Linked DNA regions of Saccharomyces cerevisiae S288C. The protein of the gene in region 2 interacts with the protein of the main gene of each other region in a biochemical or structural test. Each region holds a gene or a part of one and is shown on either strand. Other genes may lie near its edges.

Evidence for each region.
Region 1: the proteins of VAM3 (region 2) and VPS1 form a complex in vitro, tested with the Saccharomyces cerevisiae proteins (3 studies listed by BioGRID, with this or other methods).
Region 3: the proteins of VAM3 (region 2) and NYV1 form a complex in vitro, tested with the Saccharomyces cerevisiae proteins (11 studies listed by BioGRID).

Annotation. Positions count from the first base shown.
Region 1 is NC_001143.9:441,038-444,637, forward strand, and holds the start of VPS1 (dynamin-like GTPase VPS1), read right to left. Parts: upstream 1,686-3,600; coding exon 1-1,685. Other genes in the region: polynucleotide adenylyltransferase PAP1, read left to right, coding at 2,195-3,600.
Region 2 is NC_001147.6:517,236-527,206, reverse strand, and holds VAM3 (SNAP receptor VAM3), read right to left. Parts: upstream 8,087-9,971; coding exon 7,235-8,086; downstream 1-7,234. Other genes in the region: phosphatidylinositol-3-/phosphoinositide 5-phosphatase INP53, read right to left, coding at 1-1,929; 2-isopropylmalate synthase LEU9, read right to left, coding at 2,366-4,180; GTPase-activating protein RGS2, read right to left, coding at 4,925-5,854; YOR105W (uncharacterized protein), read right to left, coding at 8,686-9,012; PIN2 (Pin2p), read right to left, coding at 8,717-9,565. UniProt on the Saccharomyces cerevisiae protein: Required for vacuolar assembly. Provides the t-SNARE function in a late step of the vacuolar assembly. Required for homotypic vacuole membrane fusion, autophagy and fusion of biosynthetic transport vesicles with the vacuole.
Region 3 is NC_001144.5:321,271-332,586, forward strand, and holds NYV1 (Nyv1p), read right to left. Parts: upstream 6,146-11,316; coding exon 6,130-6,145; intron 5,989-6,129; coding exon 5,243-5,988; downstream 1-5,242. Other genes in the region: XDJ1 (Xdj1p), read left to right, coding at 1-810; GEP5 (Gep5p), read left to right, coding at 1,027-1,908; SUL2 (sulfate permease), read left to right, coding at 2,274-4,955; GIS3 (Gis3p), read right to left, coding at 6,460-7,968; IOC2 (Ioc2p), read right to left, coding at 8,407-10,845. UniProt on the Saccharomyces cerevisiae protein: Vacuolar v-SNARE required for docking. Only involved in homotypic vacuole fusion.

The DNA.
Region 1 (3,600 bases), on a different chromosome or scaffold from region 2:
GGTTTACCCGTCTTTGGGTCAACAGCGACTTGGCGAGGATGTAATTTTTCTTCCACCATAACCATTGCTTGAGAACCCTTCAAAAGGTCGGGATGGGCTGTATTGATGTAAGTTTGTTCAGCTTTGATGATATCGACAACAAACTCATTCGTAGGAATAGTAGCATCCTTTAAGAACTGAATGAACTGATTAGAAATCGCTTCTCTTAGAGCAGGATACCTTGAGTACTTTGGTTGTGAAATAATCTGTTTTAGCATACGAACAAGTTCATCAAACACCAGAGTAACTAAACGTAGAGATGGTTCTTCAAATCTTCTAATTTGCTGTTTAACTAAAACTTCAAAAGCTTCGGTACCGACAAACAAAGATGGGGCAGAACCTGAACTATTGTACATAATGGTTCTGATATCAGAATCTTTGATCTGGTCGAATGGATCCAAAGAGTCTACACCATTTTTGAAAGTTTCATGGAATACGTAAGAAATTCTAGCACCACCAGAAAGTTCCTGACTGGAAAGCTCCTTCGCCTCACCGTCCAAGATACCGGCATATTCATTGGAAAAATCAGTAATCATGCTCAAAACAACCGAACTAGCTGAATCCATAGTTTCTGGGCCCAAGTTTATAAGTTCGTTTTGATATTTTTTCAATGTGGCTTCGATTTTCGCTTTGATTTCTGGCAGAGTTTGCCTAATGTGGTGTAATAAGATTGAGTTTAACTTTTTAGCCAAATATGGTGTACCACAGTAATGAGCTTTAGAACTGTAAGAGGGATGGTTCTCAAAAAATTTTCTTTCGTTTTCAAGGGCTTCTCTGATTGTTTTTTTGTGTTCAATATCCTTTTGACCTCTATTGATAACTGGGATATAACCATATCTCAAAGGAATGACTCTTCCAGCCAAAATATCTATGACATCTGTACCTTGATCCATCAAATCGACTTTTGTCAAGACACCAATAGTTCTCGTTCCTTCTGGATCGACCTCTCTAGCCAGCTTCAAACCATCGCTGTTGGCTAAATCGGTGTTAGCGGCATTAACAGATAATATGATAGCGTTTGGTTTCGAAATATACTTTAACAACATGTCCTTAATTTGTCTTTCAATATCAGGAGGTTGGTCACCTACGGGAACCTTCGTCAACCCAGGCAAATCCACTAACGTCAAAGTAAGAACATGCGGAGAATAAATTCTCAAGTTAATGGGCACAGAAGAAATACCTGAATTGGCACCTGTCACTTTGTCAGTTTCTTTGACGATTTCCTTTCTAATTTCGTCAAAATTATAAAACTTCTTACCAGGTAAATGCAAAAATTCACCCCATTCCTCTTTATTGTCTTCAGATTGTCCCTCGTTCTGGTGCTTTCCTGATTCATCCTTTTTCTTGTCATCATCGTTGATGTTCAAGTCAATCAATTCATTAGCAGTTTGGTTTACTTTAGCATGTTCTGACTTTTTTGGTCTCCTATTAATCAATTGTAACACTAAAGGTCTCCTGGTGACAATACCAGTACCTCTTGGCAAGAAATCCCTACCAACAATGTTCTCCAAAACGGACGACTTTCCTGACGACTGGGAACCGACAACAGTGATCTGTGGTAAATCAATAGGAGATTGAGATCCTCCTCCTAAGGGCGCCAAAGCGTCCTGAAGCTTGTTAATAGTAGAAATTAAATGCTCATCCATGATATCTGATAATATAAAATGTGCAGTTTTCGTACGGTCCTTATTTTGGTGCTATAAAAGGCCTCTCTAATTCTTTTTTAGGAGTAAATAGATGAATTATCTCGGTCTGTCTTGGAAGATATGTTGTTCTCTTGATGGCAAAGCGACGCGAATCAACGGCGCCCAAGTCTTTGGGTGACCCGGCCACTTAATAATGTTTGGGGAAGAAATCAATCCATTAGAACATTGGTTTTGGAAACTAGGCCAGTCCAAGCGCACAAGTGGTTTACCCTCGAGCATTTTTCGACTATTAGAGGATTCAAGTATCTATCGAATTCTCTGAAGCTATCATACTATCCTCTGGACGATATTAGAACGATTTTTCAAGTGAAACGTTTTAGCAAAAGTTTAAAGACACTAAACTAGCTAAATAATTTCACTGTGAGCAAGTCTTTAAACGGTCTTTTTTGAATCAAAAGAGGCCTAGAATTAGCAAAATATTTAACGCATAAACTTTTTTTAGACAAATAATGAGCTCTCAAAAGGTTTTTGGTATTACTGGACCTGTTTCCACCGTGGGCGCCACAGCAGCAGAAAATAAATTAAATGATAGTTTAATCCAAGAACTGAAAAAGGAAGGATCGTTCGAAACAGAGCAAGAAACTGCCAATAGGGTACAAGTGTTGAAAATATTGCAGGAATTGGCACAAAGATTTGTTTATGAAGTATCGAAGAAGAAAAATATGTCAGACGGGATGGCAAGGGATGCTGGTGGGAAGATTTTTACGTATGGGTCCTATAGACTAGGAGTCCATGGGCCTGGTAGTGATATCGATACTTTGGTAGTTGTTCCAAAACATGTAACTCGGGAAGATTTTTTTACGGTATTTGATTCACTACTGAGAGAGAGGAAGGAACTGGATGAAATTGCACCTGTACCTGATGCGTTTGTCCCGATTATCAAGATAAAGTTCAGTGGTATTTCTATCGATTTAATCTGTGCACGTCTAGACCAACCTCAAGTGCCTTTATCCTTGACTTTATCAGATAAAAATCTACTGCGAAATCTAGACGAGAAGGACTTGAGAGCTTTGAATGGTACCAGAGTAACAGATGAGATATTAGAACTGGTACCAAAGCCGAATGTTTTCAGAATCGCTTTAAGAGCTATTAAGCTATGGGCCCAAAGAAGGGCTGTTTATGCTAATATTTTTGGTTTTCCTGGTGGTGTGGCTTGGGCCATGCTAGTGGCTAGAATTTGTCAACTATACCCTAACGCCTGTAGCGCAGTTATATTGAACAGATTTTTCATCATTTTGTCGGAATGGAATTGGCCACAACCTGTTATCTTGAAACCAATTGAGGATGGCCCGTTACAAGTTCGTGTATGGAATCCAAAGATATATGCCCAAGACAGGTCTCATAGAATGCCCGTCATTACACCAGCTTATCCATCAATGTGTGCTACCCATAACATCACGGAATCTACTAAAAAAGTCATTTTACAGGAATTCGTAAGAGGCGTTCAAATTACGAATGATATTTTTTCCAATAAGAAGTCCTGGGCCAATTTATTCGAAAAAAACGATTTTTTCTTTCGATACAAGTTCTATTTAGAAATTACTGCATATACAAGGGGCAGTGACGAGCAGCATTTAAAATGGAGTGGTCTTGTTGAAAGTAAGGTAAGGCTTCTAGTTATGAAACTGGAGGTGTTAGCTGGAATAAAAATTGCACATCCTTTCACCAAACCCTTTGAAAGTAGTTATTGTTGTCCAACCGAGGATGACTATGAAATGATTCAAGACAAATACGGTAGTCATAAAACTGAGACAGCACTGAACGCCCTTAAACTGGTAACAGATGAAAATAAAGAGGAAGAAAGTATTAAAGATGCACCAAAGGCATATTTAAGCACCATGTACATAGGCCTTGA
Region 2 (9,971 bases):
CAACAGATATTTATCATCATACTGGTTTAAGCAATCACCCACTAAGTTTTCCCAGAAAGAGCTTTTCGAGTAATCAGCGTTCAAAATCGAACCCGCAGATAGTTCTATAACTTCTTGAAGACCTAAAACAACAATATCGGGTTTAAATTTTTCACCGATTGGAAATAACCACTTTGATAAATCAACTTTTTTGGTTGCGCCATTAACATTGAATGATCCTATTAACAAGTTAATGTTGGAGGTTGATGTGAACTTATCAGACATGCTTTGTAATTTCGTACTTACGTATTCGTTTACGGGATCATAAAGTTGCACTGCTTTCTGATACGGTAACCTTCCCAACAAAGTATCGATATTTTGTTGCTTTTCTTTATCCATGAAATTGTTAATATATATTCTGCTGACCGATTTTGTGGCGTCTGATAATGCCCCAGCAAGTGACATTTTACCTTTTCTTGAAAATGAGGACTTCAAAGCATTAGTACCAGTATATATTTGGGAAATTTGATCACCGTGATCAGCCCACAGGGTGTTATGTTTAGAAACGAAATCATCATCGTCGATGAACGAATTTGAACTAATCAATCGGAAATCTTCGAGAAAAGTTCTAAAAGCAGCCAAAGAAATAATTTGCTGAGCTAAATTTGTTCTATCCAAACAATCTAAACAGTTGGTCCTAAATATGCCATGTTGTTCAGATATGTTCTTTTTTTCTCTAACATCGTAAGAATAATAGCCAGAAGATAAAAGAGAGTCCAATATTAATGGAATGAGTTTTCTGACACCGGAAAAGCCTTCTTGCGAAGTTTCTTTATGAAAATCGAATTCTGTCAAAAATATATCTTTGTTGAAGTTCAATTTTTTTGAATGAGTTAAATGCTCCTTGTATCGTTTTGAAAGTTCAATTTCAGAAGATTTCGTTGATAACAAATTAACGACATGCACAGGTCCGTACTTTTCCACTGATTTCATGATATGTTTGTCAAATACCGGTTGGGTGGCTTCAAATGATCTTGTAATTTGTACTCTTGGATTGATTAAAGAGGTACCTTGCTCCCAGAATACAGGTATACTGCCTCTAATCTGTGTAAAAGCATAACAGTATTGGCTAGAATACATAATGAATTCCGTTTCTACGAAATTGGCAACGTTTGCCTCATCATCCACACCACGTGCATTAAATCTTGTTCCTGCTCTTTTCCAGCTCTGTTTCGAGATGATAGTAAGAGCAACTTTCAACTTCTTAACGTACGAGACGAAAGTTTCCGCAAATCCACGGATAACTGTTGTTAAAAACCCCTCGTCATCCAAGATTTGTTTCAAATTTGTGTCCAAATGATCTCTGTATGTGATCATTTCTTGCATGAGAAAAGAGTTCCACATATATTCTTCTTCGTAGGTATCTGTACTCAAAGAATGCTGACCATATCCACGATGCTGTAAGGTTGAGGTCAAATCAAAATCTGAACTATAATAAAAAGATCCATTGGATAATAGTTTCTTCAATTCATAGCATGGATGTTTTGGCAAGGCGTCTTGATATTCAGTTGAAGCAGTCTCCGGCAACACAGGATAACCTGAGGAGTCGATTTCAATAAAATCCCAACTGTTGTCATTTAAACAAAAAAAATCGACAGCAAAAATTTTGTTCACAGTCTCTCCTGGGCATGGCTGTGCAACTTTTGATTTCCCAGTGATGGCACCAACAAACAGCAGGCCATTAACCTCAATGAGTCCGATAACACCAAAAATTTCGTGTGATGTAAGTCTTTTGAAGCCATATTTTTTCAAATCATTTTTTTGAAGAAGTTCAATGGCACAAAGGGGTTTATCAGATGGCTTTTTCCCAACCGGTTTAAGAACAAGAGCATACAAGTTGGATACAATGGCTAGCCTCCTTTCAGGTTCTTCTGAAACAAAGATAATCATTCTATGAAGGAGTGGATAACTAGATATTCTTCGCCCCAGTTATTTTCTTTCTTCCTCTTAAGGTACTGCTAGCTTTCTTAATATGATATTGGATATTGACTGTTCTCCCTTCACAAAGTCTCAAATTACACTACTCCTAGCTCACTCAACAGTTGCAGTAGTGCTCGAAAAATCCCTATTCGGATTCAGTTAAGATTATGCGGTGGGTGGGCCTGGGTAAAATGTTTCACGAAAGGAAATGGTACCATGGGAAAAAAAGCAAAAAAAAATAATAAAACTATAAACGAAAGAAACTTTCCACACAGACATCGAAGAAGTGTTTGGAAACTTCGCTGAAAGATGTCTTTTTAACGTGAAATAAGTTACTTTTCTGTGCCATTTATAAATAAAAATACATATATATATAACATGAGTAATCATAAGCTACTCCTTTCTATTACTCTGCCAGTAGAACATCCCCGGAATGAATAATATTATTGACAGTAGCAAATACCGCCTTAATAGATGCATCCCCAGTGTCTTCGGAGACACCAACACCCCACATATTACTAGTAGCATGATTATTGATGTCCTTTATGTAGGAAAGATTTATGAAAGATGCCGCTTGGGTTGCAGAACCAGAACCCAAGGAATGTTCAGAGTAGTTTTGAACGCTCAACTTAACATTCAGTAAATTGGATAGCGCATCCACCAAAGAAGAGATAGGACCATTTCCGTAGCCTTCGATGTTGACAACCTTATCGTTGATTTCTACCTGGCCCACTAAAGCTCTACGCTCTGGGTTCAATTTCTTAACTTCGTAATTCAACAAGGTGACGTATATATGTTCATTGTTGTTGTAGTTGTAAGTTTCTTTGAACAATTTTGTAATCTCTTCGGATTTTAACTCTCTTCCTAAGGCATCTGCATTTTTCTGTAGAGTATTGGAGAAATCAACTTGCATTGGTCTTGGTACATCTAATCCTAGAGATCTCATAATAACCCAAGCAGCACCACCCTTACCGGATTGAGAGTTGACTCTGATGACGGCTTCGTAATCACGTCCAATATCCTTTGGATCCAATGGTAAGTATGGAATTCTCCACCGAGTTTCTCCTTGAGCCTGTTTCTTGTTTTGGATTGCAAATCCCTTCTTAATTGCATCCTGATGAGAACCAGAAAAGGCAGAAACAACCAATTCACCGCCATATGGGGCTCTTGGGGGAATTGGAATCTTGTTACAGCGATGGACAATTTCAGAAATTGAAGTTAAATCTGAGAAATCTAAATTAGGAGAAACACCTTGGGTATACATATTCATGGCAACTGTAACCAAATCAACATTACCTGTACGTTCACCATTACCAAATAGACAACCTTCTACACGATCAGCGCCTGCAAGCATACCTAATTCTGTGGCGGCGACACCGCAACCACGGTCATTGTGACAATGCGTAGAAATACAGACCTTCTCACGCTCAGTAATGTGGGTAGAGAAGTACTCAATTTGATCAGCGTAAACATTTGGAGAGGCAACTTCTACAGTAGCTGGTAAGTTGAAAATGATCGGATTTTCCTCGGTAGGTTCCCAAGCCTTTTTAACAGCTTCACAAATTTCTACAGCAAATTCACCTGGCGTATCACTGAAACATTCGGGAGAAAACTCATAGGACCAACGAGTAGCTTGCTGGGAAGGGTCATCCTTGGTTAGTTTCCTAACCAGTTTGGTGGCTTCTACAGCTTTAGAAATAGCTTCCTCTCTAGACATATTGAAGACAATTTCTCGGAACATGTCACTTGTGGCCAAGTAAGTATGTATGGTAGCCCTTTTAGCACCAGTCAATGCTTCCACGGTTCTTTTAATCAAGTGTTCTCTAGATTGGACAAGACATTGAATACCAACATCATCTGGAGCGTTTTCTACAGCATACCTGGTGAAGTCGAAATCTGTTTGAGATGCAGAGGGGAAAGACACTTCGATTTCTTTGAAACCGATGTTGATCAACTTGTGGAAATATTCTTTCTTTTGAGCCACAGACATTGGGTCCGGTAAAGATTGATTACCGTCCCTCAAGTCAGTAGACAGCCAACGTGGAGCCTTTTGAATAGTTTTGTCAGGCCAAATCCTCTTGACCATTTTTGGTGGAGCAAACGCCCTATATTTTACCGATGGGTCCCGTAGCATATTTTTATAAGTCAGTTTGACGGGTGGGATAGACCTTCTTAGTTTACTAGCATGCTCAGCTAGCGCTATGAACGAATGTTTTACCATGGCTACGCGGCTAAATGATAATGTGCCGATAGTATTATCCTAAGGAGAAGACCCTTATAAGCCGAAAACAAGGATTGTGATTTCGTGGAGTAAAGTAAGGCATTATTGAAATTTAACAGCTAACTTCCAATCAAGCCAGTAAGAGGCAAAACTATGTTGTAGTTGTGATTCTGGACATCGTTTTTAATTTTTTTTTTTTTTTTTTTTTTTTTTTTCATTTTTTGGCAAGGCCGAAAGAGATGGAAAAATATGAGTCATTCACTACGACCGTTACCGGACCATGATGGCGCGCGGCACCAAAATAGACGAATGAAGTATATAACAAGCGCCATGCAGAAGGAAGAGCTAACATTAATTACTATACAGATAAATGTTTAGTGTTTGAATATGACAACATATAAAAGAAGACTGTGCCCAATGCTCTTATTTTAAATGCCTGTGAAATAATTATATGCAGTGTCATGTACGTAAAATTAAATAAAAACTAAAGTTACAAACAATATGAGCGTGATGAAATGAAGTAAATTGTGTGAAATGAATTAATATGAAACGAGGGAACTAGCCAGAAAAGCGGATTTTCTATCGTTGTTCTACTTAATCAAAGTTCTAATCTTGATTAACTGATATCATGCAAATTTAGCTTTTTAAAGCCGTTTTCAACGCTTTTTTCATTTTTACCGATCGCTTTATTGGGTAATGGCGATGAGGATGAAGATATTTGTGTCTCCACAGATGATGAAGAGGCTATCTTTGTTGATGACTGTTTTGTCCTTTCAAACGGTTTTGAACATTGCTGTTATAATGGCTACAAATGACGCCTGAAGGCTGTTTGAAAGATTTCCGTTTTTTAACAAAGTTAAGTTTTTGCAATAAACCTTTCCCCGAGTTGAGAATTCCTGTATTTTGCGGTTTTTGCAGATTTCTAGTGCTGGTATTCTTGTAGGTCGAGCTGGTAGTGTTGAGTGAGGAAGAGGACTCGCTTGGCCGAGAAGTGCGATCGCTGCATTGCGACTCATTGGTCGTGTTTGCAGACGTTTCTTGAATGATAGTTGACAAACCATTGATATCAGGCTTCTTAAGATACGAATTTCTATCTTCAGAAATATCCTCCACGCCTAATGACGAAAAAGAAGTTGTAGACTCGTTTTTGAGATCTTGTTCCGTAGCAGAGTCATTGTGGGCATATGTGGCGGAGTACTTTTTCTCATTAACAGAACTCACAAATCGGTGATACCCGTCCATTAATAGGCCCATCACATGGCTAATGGCACACAGGACGTCTACGTCGGCAGGTACTTCATTGTTAGCAAAGCACTTCTCAAATATCTCCCTAGTATCCTGTGAAAAGTTGCATTCTTTGGGGGAGTCCACGGCAATGTATTTTATGTACAACGACTTGTTCCAAACTTCCAAGAGCTTCTCCTCGCTAATACTCCTGTTTTGCTTAAGCTGGAGGAACTGATGAGCTTTTTCGAAAAATTCTAAATTTTCCTCACAATGAGCTCTTTTTAGAAATTTGTAAAACTTTTGTATTGTGTAAGGAGAACGCATCCGTTCGTGATGCCCTTTTCGCAGTTGAATCAGCACTGTATTGCTACTTTCAGCATCGCCGTCGCTGCGACTATTCTTTTCTAGCGGTATCAGTATGTCGCATAGACTTGGTACACTCGCCATCTGGCATGTGCTGAATTTTCTTCGTTTTATGTATCAAAGGTGCCTTACCTAAGATGTTTTGATATTTATATAGCCAATGTAATATTTTTTTTTTCTTCTCTTTCCTTGCCTCGTCGCTTGAGTTGTTTGCTTTTAGTGATCACCGTTGACTTTGTAAAAATCCGTTTAGTCAATTTTGGCAACTGGTTCAAGCAATGTGCAACGGAAATGGTATAGATGTGATGTGGTATAATATGTTATTAATTTGATTACTAGCGCCTTAACTATCTTTATTCAGCAAGTTTTTTTTTCATCTCCACAAAGGGACGTTTACAAAGGGTATCCCGAAAGAGATACTACATGACGACGTCATATATACGTATATCTCAAGAAAAGAATTGTTAATGATTATGTTTTTTTTTTCTTCTTTCAATTTCCTTTTTCTGATTGTGCTAAAATGAGCGCCGAGCCGCTTCGATCGGGGTACCTGCGCACTTTTCTAGCGGTTCGGTTCGGCAGTTCTTCCCGAAGCATTTAACGCAACCTTGTTCCTCATTCTCCAGCAGGTCTGTGCTTGGTGCGCGACTTTAGCTGCAACGGCGTGGGTGTGCCGCAGCGGACATTTCTTAGTTAGATGTCATCTCGGCTGGACCGGGACGCCACAGTAAGATTTCAAACTGCTGAAAATTTTCGCCAGCAGAATAGCCGCTACTATCAGGCCGTAGCGACAGGATCGTGCCCGCAATAACGTACACATCGAGGTAATTATGCATGATTTCTTTTTTTGCCGAGAAATTCTGCCATTTTTATTAATCCACGCTCTGTCCTTATCTTAGTGACAGGCAAGGATGTTCTGCAAAAGCGAAAATTGAAATAAGATAAATACTTCCGAGCCAGACACGTTCTTATGTTTATCAGGGCCCACAAGGTTCATTTAGAAGACAACGCATACAATGTTTTGTTTCTTGATAACGGTTGGCGGCCGTTAAGCAACAGTAAGGCAAATGACAGTTAACGGAAAATAACAGGGTTCTTACTTTTTACATACAGTAGCACAATCCTTTTTTTATTGGCAGTCGCTAGTAGAAATTCGTGGGGATTTACGGACTACTGAAAAAAGGTCAGTGTAGATCGTACAAAGTAGAAAAAGGAAAAAGGGCATATCGAGCCCTTGCATTTAAACTACGGAGTACAAAAAACACAGGTTGCGCACATGGGAAGTGCACTATCACTAGACATCAAAGGAAATTTTGAGTCAAAAAGAGCGGCTAAGAAACCCCCCTACCACAAAAGAATAAATGCAAAAAATAACTTATACACTCTTATACACTCTTGTTTTCGTAAATAGATAAGATTGGGTCTACCAGAAAGTCTGTGCTCAATGCGCGTTTAAGGAGATTACTAACTTAATACAGCAAGCAATACCACCATGCACACAACTATTATAATGATTAGGGTGACCTTACCGCATTTGTTACGGTCCCTCTGATGCTGGTCTGCTCTGGTTAATTGTTTGTTTGCATTCTGCATGTTATCATGTAAATGCGAGATATTCTCGTCTATGGTGGTTACTTGTTCTCCCTGTTCTTTCACTAATGAACCGAGCTGATGGAAAATAGCATTGACTTCTTGTACCGCCGTATGAATGCGTCCTATCTGTTGGGATCTTTCCTGGTGAATGATTGTTTGAAAATCTAGTTCTTCTTGGGACAATCCTTGCTGTTGTTGTTCTTGTTCTTCTTGCAGCTGTAATTGGTGTTGTCCTTCGTTATGCAGTAAAGGACTCTGCTCGTTTACTTTTATAGAAATATAACTAGACTCTGGATCTTGTCGCACGGCTTCAGTTCGCGGATGGATGTCTTTTCTTTCCTTAGATGTTCCTGGTGAAATAGGCGTTTTTAGAGGGAACAGACTCTTCCTTTGATTGTATGATTGTTGTAGGGATTGATACTTCGTTTTCAGGTTCTTGAAATCAGCAGACAACTTTCCATTTTGGTGAATGAGGATGTTGCTCTCAATTTTATCCCTTACACTGGTGCAGTTCGGTATTAACTCTGTTTCAATTTTGTATCTTAGTTCTTTGGAGTCCCGTTTGGAACCAATTTTGGTGCATTCCTTTTCCAGCACGCGGGATTGTTCAGCGAATGTCTCAATTAAATTGCTTAATTCCTTCGTTTTTTGATTTGTTGAGAATTGTGGTTCTTGCTGGGAGTTACCCTTTGAAGATTGTGCTTCGATGTCGAAAAAGGACATAATCTCAACTTTCTGCAGTGGATATTAGTTGGCCAATTTGTTAATGCTGATCCCGTGGTTTTTTATTGTTCTATTTTCCTTCCTTTAATCTCCTGGCTGCTTTCTTTACATCAAAATCAAAATTCACTACAAAAATGTATATAGAGTTTTTACTGCGCATCTCGCGAAAAAAAAAGTTGTGATGTGAAACTCGAATATGAGGCTGAACGAATATTATCATTTGATTATAATAAGTATTGACTTGTATGATCTTAGTTTTGCTCTTCCTGTGTCCTCGTCAGCACCTAGGTAAACTATATGTTACAAATAGATCACTTTTATCCTGAGGAAAACAACCTAATTTATTGTACATACTAACTGACCAAGAGGAAGTTCACCATTGACTGCCCTTATTTGCATTTTAAAAGTTGCGGTTTCTGGTGTTACCTGTTAGAAGGCACCTTTTTAGCAACCGGTACAAGGAAAAACTCGTTGGAAGATTTTTTTTTACTTTCCTTTCCGTAAACGCAAGCTCACAGTTATTCCTGAAGAAATTCCTAATTGGTTCTTGCAAAATCTACCAATGAATCCTCTTGATCTTAAAATGTCTGACTGATTATTCAAAAGAAGGGGGAATATATATTTACCTCATTAGTAATATCTATCGCTTTGGTTTGGTTTATATCCCTGATATGATTGATAATTTTCGGTTGGATATGGACTTCTATGATTAGAGGAGGGAGTATTGTAACTGTTTCCCTGGAGGTTATTATTGATGTTATTATTATCGTAATAATAGTTCTCGCCATAATCGCTGATGTCAAAAATTGGAGATTGTGAAGCAACATGAGCGTTGTTGCTACCAGTATTGGCCGCATTTTGGATAAACGAATTTCTAGCATCATATTGCGGCTGAGGGCTGCTACCTTCGAAATTTTCTTCTTCATACACTAGAGGGGCCACCCTACTAGGGCTGCGTCCTTCTTTATTTCTTTCCTTCTGTTGTTTTTTCCTTGTTTTCTCTTTTTGTTTTTCCAAATCGAAATCTTCCTCTAATTCATACACCTCATTACTGGGAGTTTTGACTTCGTCGTAAAATGTATCATTCTTCGCATCGTTTCTATAATACGCACTTTCAGGTTGTTGAATAGGCTGATAAATCACAGTAGAAGGAGGAGCCACGCCCATATTAACTCTACTAAAACCCTCATTTACCGGCATTGTATTGTTTCCATTTCTGTCATTAGAACAACGACAACACCAACAAATGAACTGACCTATTCCTGTTACCCCTTGCCTGAAACATGTCAGTAAGCCCCCAATCAACCAAATCACAAGAATACAGGCCAAAACAATACCAACAATCGCAATAATTTTACATGCTTTATTGTCCATGCAGGTGTCCCAGCTTCGGAAACTTTTTCCTGTACTTACTACACCATCTGTAAAGGACGATCTCGGAAATAGTGGTACTATTTCTTTCAACTTGCAAACGTTCATTACTGTGTATACGCTTGGGAGTCTTTGATTATATTTCTAGTATTTTCTTGAAACGGTTATTTTGCTAAAAATAAACAAGATAAAAAAAATCTAAAAAGTCACGACCGGGGGTGGTTATTCTTGATCTAAGTAGCAAATATGTAATATATTTGAAACTTTCTTGCGCCCCTTTAATTTTGAAGTTCTTCTAGGCTTTTATCCAGTTCTAGAGTAGAAGTTGCGGTTCCAGTAGATCTTGAAGCTTTTTCGAGATGCATCATTTATATTTTTCCCCATTTGGTTATAAGAGAAGAGGCATTTTCCTACAACGAAAAATAAGCATAAAAAGGGCCACGTTCGTAGCAAAAAAAAGCTAAGACTGATACTTTGTAGCAAGAAACTGAATGAAAAACTGGGATTTTCATTT
Region 3 (11,316 bases), on a different chromosome or scaffold from region 2:
GAACGTCTGAAGAGGTTTGGTCCCGGTTTGGTAGCTTCGCAATGGGTGGTCTGTGAGAAATGTAATGGTAAGGGGAAGTACACTAAAAGACCCAAGAATCCAAAGAACTTTTGCCCCGATTGCGCAGGCTTGGGGCTCCTGTCAAAGAAGGAAATCATCACAGTGAACGTGGCTCCGGGACACCACTTTAACGACGTAATTACAGTCAAGGGGATGGCGGACGAGGAAATCGATAAGACCACATGTGGTGATTTAAAGTTCCATCTCACTGAAAAACAAGAAAACTTGGAGCAGAAGCAAATCTTTTTGAAGAACTTTGACGACGGCGCCGGGGAAGATTTGTATACAAGCATTACCATATCGTTAAGCGAGGCCTTGACGGGATTTGAGAAATTTTTGACAAAAACCTTCGACGACAGGTTACTAACATTGAGCGTTAAACCTGGCAGAGTAGTAAGACCTGGTGACACCATCAAAATCGCCAATGAAGGTTGGCCCATTTTAGATAACCCTCATGGCCGGTGCGGCGATCTGTATGTTTTCGTTCATATTGAATTTCCACCAGATAACTGGTTCAATGAAAAATCAGAACTACTAGCAATAAAAACGAATCTGCCGTCATCTTCATCTTGTGCCTCACATGCGACTGTAAATACTGAAGATGACAGCAACCTGACTAACAACGAAACTATATCAAATTTCCGGATCATTCACACGGACGATCTTCCAGAAGGGATAAGGCCGTTCAAGCCAGAAGCACAGGATTCAGCGCATCAGAAAGCAAGAAGTTCGTACTGCTGTATCCAATGATGGCATCAATAACTTTTTATTCTATTTTTTTTTTTTTTTCATAAGTTATCCTACCTGTATATATGTATATATATGAAATTCATTTACTGAATGCGGTGAAGAATGAAGTCTTTCGCACCTTCAGTAGAAAAATAGGAAGAATCCCCATCGCGGCGGACATAAAGCAAGCATACAAAGGCCTTCTATCAGAACAGCGATTGCGAACTTGGAGCAACAATGGCGTCCCAGGTTAACGCCTTATTACTGCCGGTCATAGAGTCTACGCCGCTTCATCAAATAACCAAGGTAGCATTGACGACCACACTCACAAGTAAACAAAGCGATTACAAGTTCAAAGAAATAGCCGTGCCGTTAACAAAATCACTACAACTGTACGAGAAGGCGCAAAGAAGACAAGATTTAAGGGCAAGCTTAAAAGCACTGGAGAGTATCATTTACCAAACGCACTTCCAATGGAATAACCCGCTCCCACGACATGCGCATCTCTTCCAAAAACACTACCACTTTCTACTGACTCACTGGCCATTTGAGAACCACAGAGACTTGGTAGATTCCATCGCTGTAAACAATGGGAAACTAAATTCAACGTCTTCAAGGAGCGTCTGGCTGAAGGCGGATTGGATAACACTGTTTAACGTTAAAAACCCTTGGGTCCAAACGCCGCCATCGTTAATGCGTCTGAGTGGGACAGATCTTGATACCTTCACACCAGAGAGGATATTCCTGATAAATTCTCTTGGAAACCACTACAAATTTTTAATAGCGAACAGTCATCTAAGCTACAATCACAAAAAATACCCCTCCCCTGGCGTGCAAATTCCTGTCAGGAACGCTCTTGGCGAAGTTTCTCCGGCCAAACAAATTGCCCAACTTTTCGCAAGACAGCTGTCTCATATTTACAAGAGCCTCTTCATAGAAAACCCCCCGCTCTCTCCTGAGAACGAGCTGGCATTGACTGCCGTCTTCTATGACGAGACTGTAGAGCGACGCCTTAGAAGGCTCTATATGCGAGCTTGTGCAAGGGCATATACGACTACTAATGCCGACTCCACCACGGAGCCTTTGATGTTTCATTGCACCCGGTGGGAAGTTGATTAGTTGTTGTTGGCTGTTATACTGGAGTAAATGTCACGTGCCACTGTGGCCGTGTCAGGTCACGTGAAGAGAGAAATTCGGCCACAGTTGTGGTCCTAAACAAGGACTGAAAAAGATCGCAGAAACTAGCAACGTCGGATAGCGGTATGGTTGAACCAAAGTCCAGTTTTTAGTCATAGCCGGTTGAGGGATGATCTGCCGTTCAGTGTTCTGCGTTCAATAATACGCATATATATATATATCAAGGTATCAACACAATACTTGAACAGGTTAGGCTCGTACTAAAGCCTGGAAGTTTTTATCTTTCTGTAACATTTTTCTTTCTTGAGGTGTGTGTGTGTATAGATTAGCAGGGAATTATCTAAGATATGTCCAGGGAAGGTTATCCAAACTTTGAAGAGGTAGAAATTCCTGACTTTCAGGAAACTAACAACACCGTTCCAGATCTTGATGATTTAGAATTAGAGTATGACCAATATAAAAATAATGAAAATAATGACACGTTTAATGATAAGGACTTAGAGAGCAATTCTGTAGCAAAGCACAACGCAGTGAACAGCTCAAAGGGCGTAAAAGGCTCGAAGATTGACTACTTTAATCCTTCAGATGTCTCGTTGTATGACAATTCCGTTTCCCAATTTGAAGAAACAACGGTATCGCTAAAAGAGTACTATGACCACAGTATACGATCTCATCTCACGGTGAAAGGAGCATGTAGTTATCTTAAGAGTGTTTTTCCCATCATCAACTGGCTACCACATTACAATTTTAGCTGGTTTACTGCGGATCTTATTGCAGGAATTACCATTGGCTGTGTTCTCGTGCCGCAATCCATGTCATATGCACAAGTCGCCACGCTACCAGCGCAGTATGGGTTGTACTCCTCGTTTATTGGTGCTTACTCCTACTCTTTTTTCGCTACATCAAAAGATGTTTGTATTGGGCCCGTGGCTGTCATGTCTTTGCAGACCGCCAAAGTCATTGCGGATGTCACGGCAAAATATCCTGATGGAGATTCTGCCATAACTGGTCCCGTTATTGCAACGACTCTAGCGTTACTATGTGGTATCATTTCGGCAGCAGTTGGCTTCTTGCGTCTAGGGTTTCTTGTCGAACTGATTTCCTTAAATGCAGTCGCTGGATTTATGACTGGATCCGCGTTTAATATCTTATGGGGTCAAGTTCCAGCACTAATGGGTTACAATAGTTTGGTTAACACGAGAGCTGCCACCTATAAAGTGGTCATAGAGACCTTGAAACATTTACCAGATACCAAACTGGACGCAGTTTTTGGGCTAATCCCGCTTTTCCTTCTTTATGTTTGGAAATGGTGGTGCGGAACATATGGACCAAGGTTGAACGATAGATACAACTCCAAAAACCCAAGGTTACACAAAATTATCAAATGGACATATTTTTACGCTCAGGCTTCCAGAAATGGTATCATTATTATTGTATTCACTTGTATTGGTTGGGCAATCACAAGAGGCAAATCTAAATCGGAGAGGCCCATCAGCATCCTAGGCTCAGTTCCATCCGGTTTGAAAGAAGTCGGGGTTTTCCATGTTCCACCAGGATTAATGTCTAAGCTTGGTCCAAATTTGCCTGCATCCATTATTGTGTTATTGTTGGAGCATATCGCTATTTCGAAGTCTTTTGGTAGAATCAACGACTATAAAGTCGTCCCCGACCAAGAATTGATTGCTATTGGTGTCTCGAACCTTTTAGGTACTTTCTTCAATGCTTACCCAGCGACTGGTTCCTTTTCAAGGTCTGCTTTGAAGGCTAAATGTAATGTCCGTACGCCGTTATCTGGTTTGTTTTCGGGTTCATGTGTTCTTTTAGCATTATATTGTTTGACCGGCGCATTCTTTTACATTCCAAAGGCTACCTTATCTGCAGTTATCATTCACGCTGTATCTGATCTTTTGGCCTCTTATCAAACTACCTGGAATTTCTGGAAGATGAATCCATTGGACTTCATCTGTTTCATTGTCACCGTCCTAATAACGGTATTTGCCTCTATTGAAGATGGTATTTATTTTGCCATGTGCTGGTCATGTGCAATGCTCATTTTAAAAGTGGCTTTCCCAGCGGGAAAATTCTTGGGTCGTGTGGAAGTCGCTGAAGTTACTGATGCTTACGTCAGACCGGACTCCGATGTGGTTAGCTACGTGTCTGAAAATAACAATGGTATTTCCACTTTAGAAGATGGTGGTGAGGATGACAAGGAAAGTTCCACCAAATACGTCACAAATTCCTCCAAGAAAATAGAAACAAACGTTCAAACAAAGGGCTTTGATTCTCCATCTTCTTCGATTAGCCAGCCAAGGATAAAATACCATACTAAATGGATACCGTTTGATCATAAATACACAAGAGAATTGAACCCGGACGTTCAGATTCTCCCCCCACCAGACGGTGTTCTTGTTTATAGGCTATCAGAGAGCTACACCTATCTCAACTGTTCCAGACACTACAACATCATAACCGAAGAAGTTAAAAAAGTTACCAGACGTGGTCAATTAATTCGCCACAGAAAAAAATCTGACCGTCCATGGAATGATCCTGGTCCATGGGAAGCACCTGCTTTCTTAAAGAATTTGAAATTCTGGAAGAAAAGGGAGAACGACCCTGAATCCATGGAAAACGCGCCCAGCACCTCAGTCGATGTTGAAAGAGATGACAGGCCATTGCTGAAAATACTATGCTTAGACTTCTCACAAGTGGCACAGACAGACGCTACGGCTCTTCAATCATTGGTTGATTTGAGAAAGGCCATAAATCAATATGCAGATAGGCAAGTTGAATTCCACTTTGTGGGTATCATTTCACCATGGGTGAAGAGAGGTTTAATTAGCAGAGGATTTGGTACTCTGAACGAAGAATACAGTGATGAATCCATTGTTGCCGGTCATACAAGTTATCACGTCGCCAGAGTACCTCAAGGCGAAGAAAATCCTGAAAAATATAGCGTTTATACCGCTTCAGGAACAAATCTACCTTTCTTCCATATCGATATCCCAGATTTTGCTAAATGGGATATCTAGCCAATGCATTTACAATGGACATGCAAACATTTATATCATCTCTTTTTTTCTATATTCCTAAACCAAAAAGTTTTCCCCCTTAAAAGTATACATTTAATATCATAATGAGATAGACACTGTTTATATAATAAGAAATAATAGGTAGGATGGTGCCATCGTGAGCATATACATACCTATAAATATTTACCTTATTTTTATTTTATTTTTCTCTTCCTCTCAGGAACAAAAGAAATACAACCGTTATTAATGTTATTGTCGTGGGACAGCTCCCCTTTTTTTTTATTTACTTACCACAGATAGAAAAACATGAAAGCAGCACTTACAAATAGTATAATAGTGAAAGTTAATAACGTAATATTTTTGACCTTCTGCCACCACATTATTTCTTTTATATTGACCGCTTTGCGCCTAAATTTATTACTGCTGCTATTTAGTTGGGAAGTTTTATCCACCAATAAAGAAACTCTTTCTTGTCTCTCCAAGAACTTGTCGATGTTATCGTTCATTATCTGGATGACGTCCTTTATTTGGTCTTCGGTGGCATCCCCGATGTCACTTATAGTGTTCTGACCATTCCCATTACTAGATTGGCCATTTCCAGAACTATTTAAAGTTTGGTTACGGTATTCGACCAGCTCTTCATGGAAAGAGTCTAGTATTTGACCTACATGCGAACTTAAAAGTTCGTTTGTAGCGTTGGACTCGTATTCCTGCAGCCCACTTAGTATCCTGATGGGCAAAATCTTGGGCATATCTACTAATGTGAAGCAAACGTACACAGTTTTGGGGTCATGGTCATCCGTGGAGTAGAAACAATCGAATCCGTCGATGAGATTCATTGACATCTTGGTAACTTTGTTCCCCTTGATCGGAACTACTTTGGGTAATACCATATCCATGATCAAATTATGGAAAATGACCGGCGTTATCTGCTCGTTTGCTGAAGTTATTGTACCATAGTTTTCGTTTTTCTGGAACGGCTGGAAACAACTAGATATTGTTTCACCATTTTTTATAACTTCCACATAACTTACTAAGACCATATGCAAAATCAAGCAAAATGGAACGTTAGTCTACTGAATGTAACATAGTAAAATTATGGCATGGGGGGATGAGCATTCGCATAATCCCTTTTTTAAACATTTGTTAATTGTGTAGAAATATTTATACATACCATTAAAGCGTTTCATTTGGTAAAAATATAAAAGTCCAATGCTCTAACAGCTTAATAAATTGTCGCTTTTCACTCTGTTCTTCAAATTTAATAGCTGTTGCTCCAACTTAGTCAAGTGCTAGAAAATTCATAGAGGGGCTTTTTTTCATCATTATTGTGACCTCATTTTTTCTTTCTTCGATCGTTTGAGGCGAATATTACCCGGGCGCTTGGTGGTAATGCGTTGTTTTAAATATTATATATAATGAATGTGGTGGTAGAATATATAGTTTACTATTTTTAGATAATGCAAATGGGTGGGGTGAAGGCGATGAAAAGGTGGGGGGTCTATCAGAGAAACCTGCTGTCACACCAGCCCTTTACGACATATTGAATCTCTCTCGTAGGTGCGGAAGTCTTATTGGTGACTTTGCCTAAATTTAGTTTTCCGCATGGTTTGAGCATTGTGCCGCCATTGTTGAACCATGGCTTGACGTCTGAGTGTACGCGGACCAAAGAACTTTTCAAATCCGCCGTTGCATGTTCGCTTGCGGATTCACGGCCTTGCGAAGGTTCCGTATTGCTTGTCGTTGCAACAAAGTGCAAATTCCAGGGGGTAGAATCGCCAAAAAGATCATTTCTTGTTTCATGGACCATGTCAGACCATAATTTTTTCCTAGTAATTAGGGCAAGCTTAATATCGTTCGTAGAGACATTTGGCTCCTTTTTGATTTCCAAAGACCGAATTTCGGAATACGTTAGCTGCTTCAACAGATGGTCATCTACTTCGACTTCGGGTAAAATACTCTTCCTTTTACATGATGTTTCAATAGAGTATAACTTTAGGAAATTGGTATTCAAACTTTTTTGTCTTATTCTTTTATTGGGCAAGAGCTCGCTAGATGCAATCGAACCGTCGGTCTCGGGCGATGGTGATGCAGATGGCCATTGTTCTAATTCTACCAGGTCATTTTCGTAAATCATGTTTTCTGTAGTCGATTTGCTCCTACTCTTCCTTCTTGAAGTCTTGCCGCCTTTCTTGTCGATGATTTGGAAGTCCACAGAGGTCGGACGAAGTTTGGCATCGGACGACGCAGAAACCAGTGAAAGGGCAGAGGACGATCGCGGACGCCGTTCGTATACGGGAGGAAAGATATCGACTAAATCCTTAACCTCCCAGTCGTCGAACAAATCGAGATCATTTATGTTTATTATTTTCATTTTGGGCACGACCGGCTCAGCCAGTACCTCATCGCCAATCGCGGGGGTCTGCAAATCGACAGCGTCAGCAATATCATCTGTCAAGGGATGAAGTTTAGAGGAGCTCAATGAAGAACAGTCGCTTTGAGCTTCCTCGGAGAACTTCCTCTTTATGCTCTGTGTTAAGTGGCCCTCATGTATGGGGCATTCGCCCGATAACGTCTTGGCGGAATTTGTTTTCCTAACTTGCGACATGACCGAGCTTAAGGACGGGGTCATCAAAGATGAGCGATTTTCGTTCAGCAGTTCGGAATCGTCTCGAGCCTTCAGTATTCTAGTCCTCTTGAAGCTATTCCTCTTGGTTAGTGTTCTAGTACGTTCAGCGCTTCCTTGACCATCGAACTGCGGCTTAGTGGAGTGGAAATAAATCTCATCGCTCACCGTCCTATTACTTGTGGCGGTCTTGTTCATGCTGGCGCTGGCTAACTTGTTATTCTTCTTATTAGTAGCGGTAGCGTAAAATGACTTGGGATAAAATACCTTTGATGAGTCGCTCCATGAGTGCAATGCGCCATCATCACGTATGCTTTTGATGAGGCAATGTTCATGCACATGAGCATCGTGCATTAGTGTGTGATTTGTGTTCACGTCCAGCAGCATTCTATAATTATGTCTTGTTGAAAGTGTTCTGTATGTTCGTGTCTATCCAAAGAAACAAGTAATTGAGAAAACTAGCCATCAAATACTTGTGAAGAAGCGAGTTTCCATTCTCTGTTTCACTCGTTTGGCGTTCTCACCATCCCACTTTTATTTCATTGGCTTTTTTAACACAATAAGGCGCCTTCAGCACCTTTGCCGCGCATTAAGGATGGCCACTGACGAAAAACCGGATAAAAAAAGACGAAAAAATGCCGTCTGACCCTAGTCAGGAGCCGCCTCATACACCCTAATTATTTTGGCGCTAAGCCCTAAGCATCATTATTACCCGACATGAAGCGACAGAAGCCCTACGGATGTGCGGCTGGAAAAGAAAGTTTCATGAAGAACCAGTTGATATATATTTTACTATATACTTTTGCTGTGTATTTCTATATGAGGCTAGTTGGTTGGTGGGAACTGGAAGTGAAAGTTCTGTTCTTTAGGGTGCAGCGGTTGCTGTTGCTGTTGCTGTTGCTGTTGCTGCTGTGGTTGGATTGATGCTTGTGATGTTTGTGGTGCCTGTGGTGCTTGTGGTACAGTTTTGCTGCCAGTTTGCTGCGAGTATGTAATTATGGGGTGAGCGGCATTTACATTAGGTGCTGGATTGATGGCTGGATTTGTTTTTTCGTAAGCGGCGATACTAGGCGTTGTGCTACTTGACATGTTTGCAAATGCATTATTAAACACTGGAGGTGAGACAGACTCGGTTAGTTCCCTTTTCTTTGCAAGCTCTTCGAGCCTTTTCTTTTCTTCCTTCATTTTTTTTCTTCTTTCACGGTCTTCCTGTTGTTTTCTTTGTTTGGCCCTTATTATTTTCAATTCAGGCACAAAAATGTTGCGCAGCTCAAGTTCCAAGTCCCTGATGCACCAAGCGCAGATAAAAGTGGAGCATTCAGACAGCGGTTTGCGTTTATCAGTAGGTCTTGAAGACTTGGTGCTGGGTTCAAGTGTGGATTGGGGTCTGCGAGAAGACCTTCTATTGCCGTGCGAATTTCCCATTATGATGACGCCAAAATCACGTTGCGACAGCGTGTGCTGTGGGGATTTTGTGGTTGAAGATATAAGCTCTATAATTTTTGGAGGTTGGCATTCCCAATGCTGCCACCTGTAACAATGATCACAGCATATCAATGGGCGGTTATTGAAGAGGTCAGTCTCCGTGTCTTCGGTGATAATCATGGGCGCCAGCTCTGGTTCGCCCGGACATTGGAAAACAGAATCTTGGTTGTCGGGCTCTTGCTGCGGAGTAAAGATCCCGTAGTTGGCAAGCTCATCTAGCTCTTCCTTTGTTATGCAGAAGTCACTAGGCAATTCAGGGACGTCTCCCGTCTGTAGTGGCCCAACAGTTCCAGGAATTGGTGGTTCCACCGGGATTATACTAGATTGAAAGTTAGGGCCGTGATCAAGAACTCCGATATCGATTTCATTTAAGGGATTGTCCTCCTCCCTGCCCAAAGACGTTTCAAAAAACGGTGTACCAGAACCACTTCTATCTTTGAGCTCGTTACGCCTGGTCAATTTTTCATCTCTATAATCTTGATCGTACAATTGCCACAATTGGTTCCAAAGAAGATCTTTTATCTTTTTGATTTCCTTCGACACTAGCTTGTTTCTGTGCCTTATAAATTGTTCTCTTTCATCTAGTTTTTCAAACCACTCACTTTCCAAGTCTTTTTTCTTGTTTTCTTCCTCTTTCGCTACCAGTCTCGAAGATCTTTTCCTCCTTGTCATTAGCTCCGCAATTGCTCTCTCCTTTTCTCTGTTGGCCAAAAGTTTTGCCGAATATAGTCTATGTTCGGCATACACCGGTATTAAGTTAGTTATGAACTCATCTATGGCTTTCGAACTTTTATTCTCTGACCAGTATTCTAGCATGGACCCCCAATTAGTTGTAATCACATCATAATCAATTGTAATCGATTGAAGATATGCATCGATATCGTGAGAGTACTCGAGATGAATAAGCTCCACTGAATCAGGAATGTCTGGGTCGCTTTCTTTTATAGTACAGTTCTGTAGTTTTATTGGGATATTCAGAGTTTGAGAGACTTGGGAGGAAGAGCCTTCTTTTACTCTGTGAATGGTTTTCTTTACGAGTACACCAACATTGGGTAAGGCAAACAAGCTCTTCATTTCCTCCCCTCCACTATTATCATCATCCAGTATAACTTCACTAAACGTAAACAGATGCAAGTTATTCGCTAAGTAGTTTTTGAAGATCATATTTTTCATTTCAATTAATTTTATGATACTGTAAATGATGTCGAATTGGCGTGCAATTTCAAGCTCCAAAAAAGGTAAGTCCGTAACCAAATCTGAATACGCGCTCGAGTTTTGCAAGTGATGGTTAACTATAACATTCCAATCTTTCAATTGCCCGCTTTTATTTCCCGCTAATTGATGCAATAATTGCAATCTAATTCTGTCGTACAAATTTTGCGATCCTTCATCTACGTCGACTTCATCATTGTAATAGTTCGAGTCCTTCCCGTCTATCTTCGAAAATACGTCAGTTACAAATACACCTTCATCGAATTTGATATTCTTCCACAAGCATTTGGTAGAGCTACCGCCATACTGGTCAGTATTAAATGTCGTTGTAGTATATGATTCGCAGACATTGGAAAGCCAAGCCATCACATACTGGAAGTGCCAGTGATTGGCCAAGTCCGCGATCTTCTCATCTAATATTTCAGAATACGGCAGCTGGTGCTTGTTCAATTGGGCTATTATGTCTTCGGAGACATATTCTTTCCAGTCTTCACTATCCGCATTCGCAGCGCCGGCAGGCATGCTCGCTCCTACATTTCTTGTACCCCTAGTTCTCTTCGTTCTCATCGATCGCTGATTCACCGCTTTGTATCTATATATGATTAGCCAGTGTGTATGAGTAAAATAGAGCAATTGATCTAGTTTCTTAGTCGTGTCACTATTGAATAAATAAATGTTAATGTTGCTGGAAAGGAAGAATTATGTCACTTTTGACGCTCTCGCATTCCGTGTGCGGTGATAGCGGTAACTTGGTCTAGCAACGAAAATTTAAAAAGGTTGGAAAAGGAAAAGAAGAGCTCAAGTGGACCTAGAAGTCCTGCTTTGCCACCGTTTAAGCAAGGAATAGAGCACGCCGTTGACACAAATTCACAGTCAAGGACGGGCCACGAGAACTTTATTACAAAATATACTGCATTACACGAAATTCAGCGGAACTCTGAGCGCGAACAGCATTAGGTACCGAGAAACGCTTTTCAAAAGAAATTTCTAAAAGTTTTATTGTGCCATTAATATCGCGGCTCAATTGTTAAGTATTTC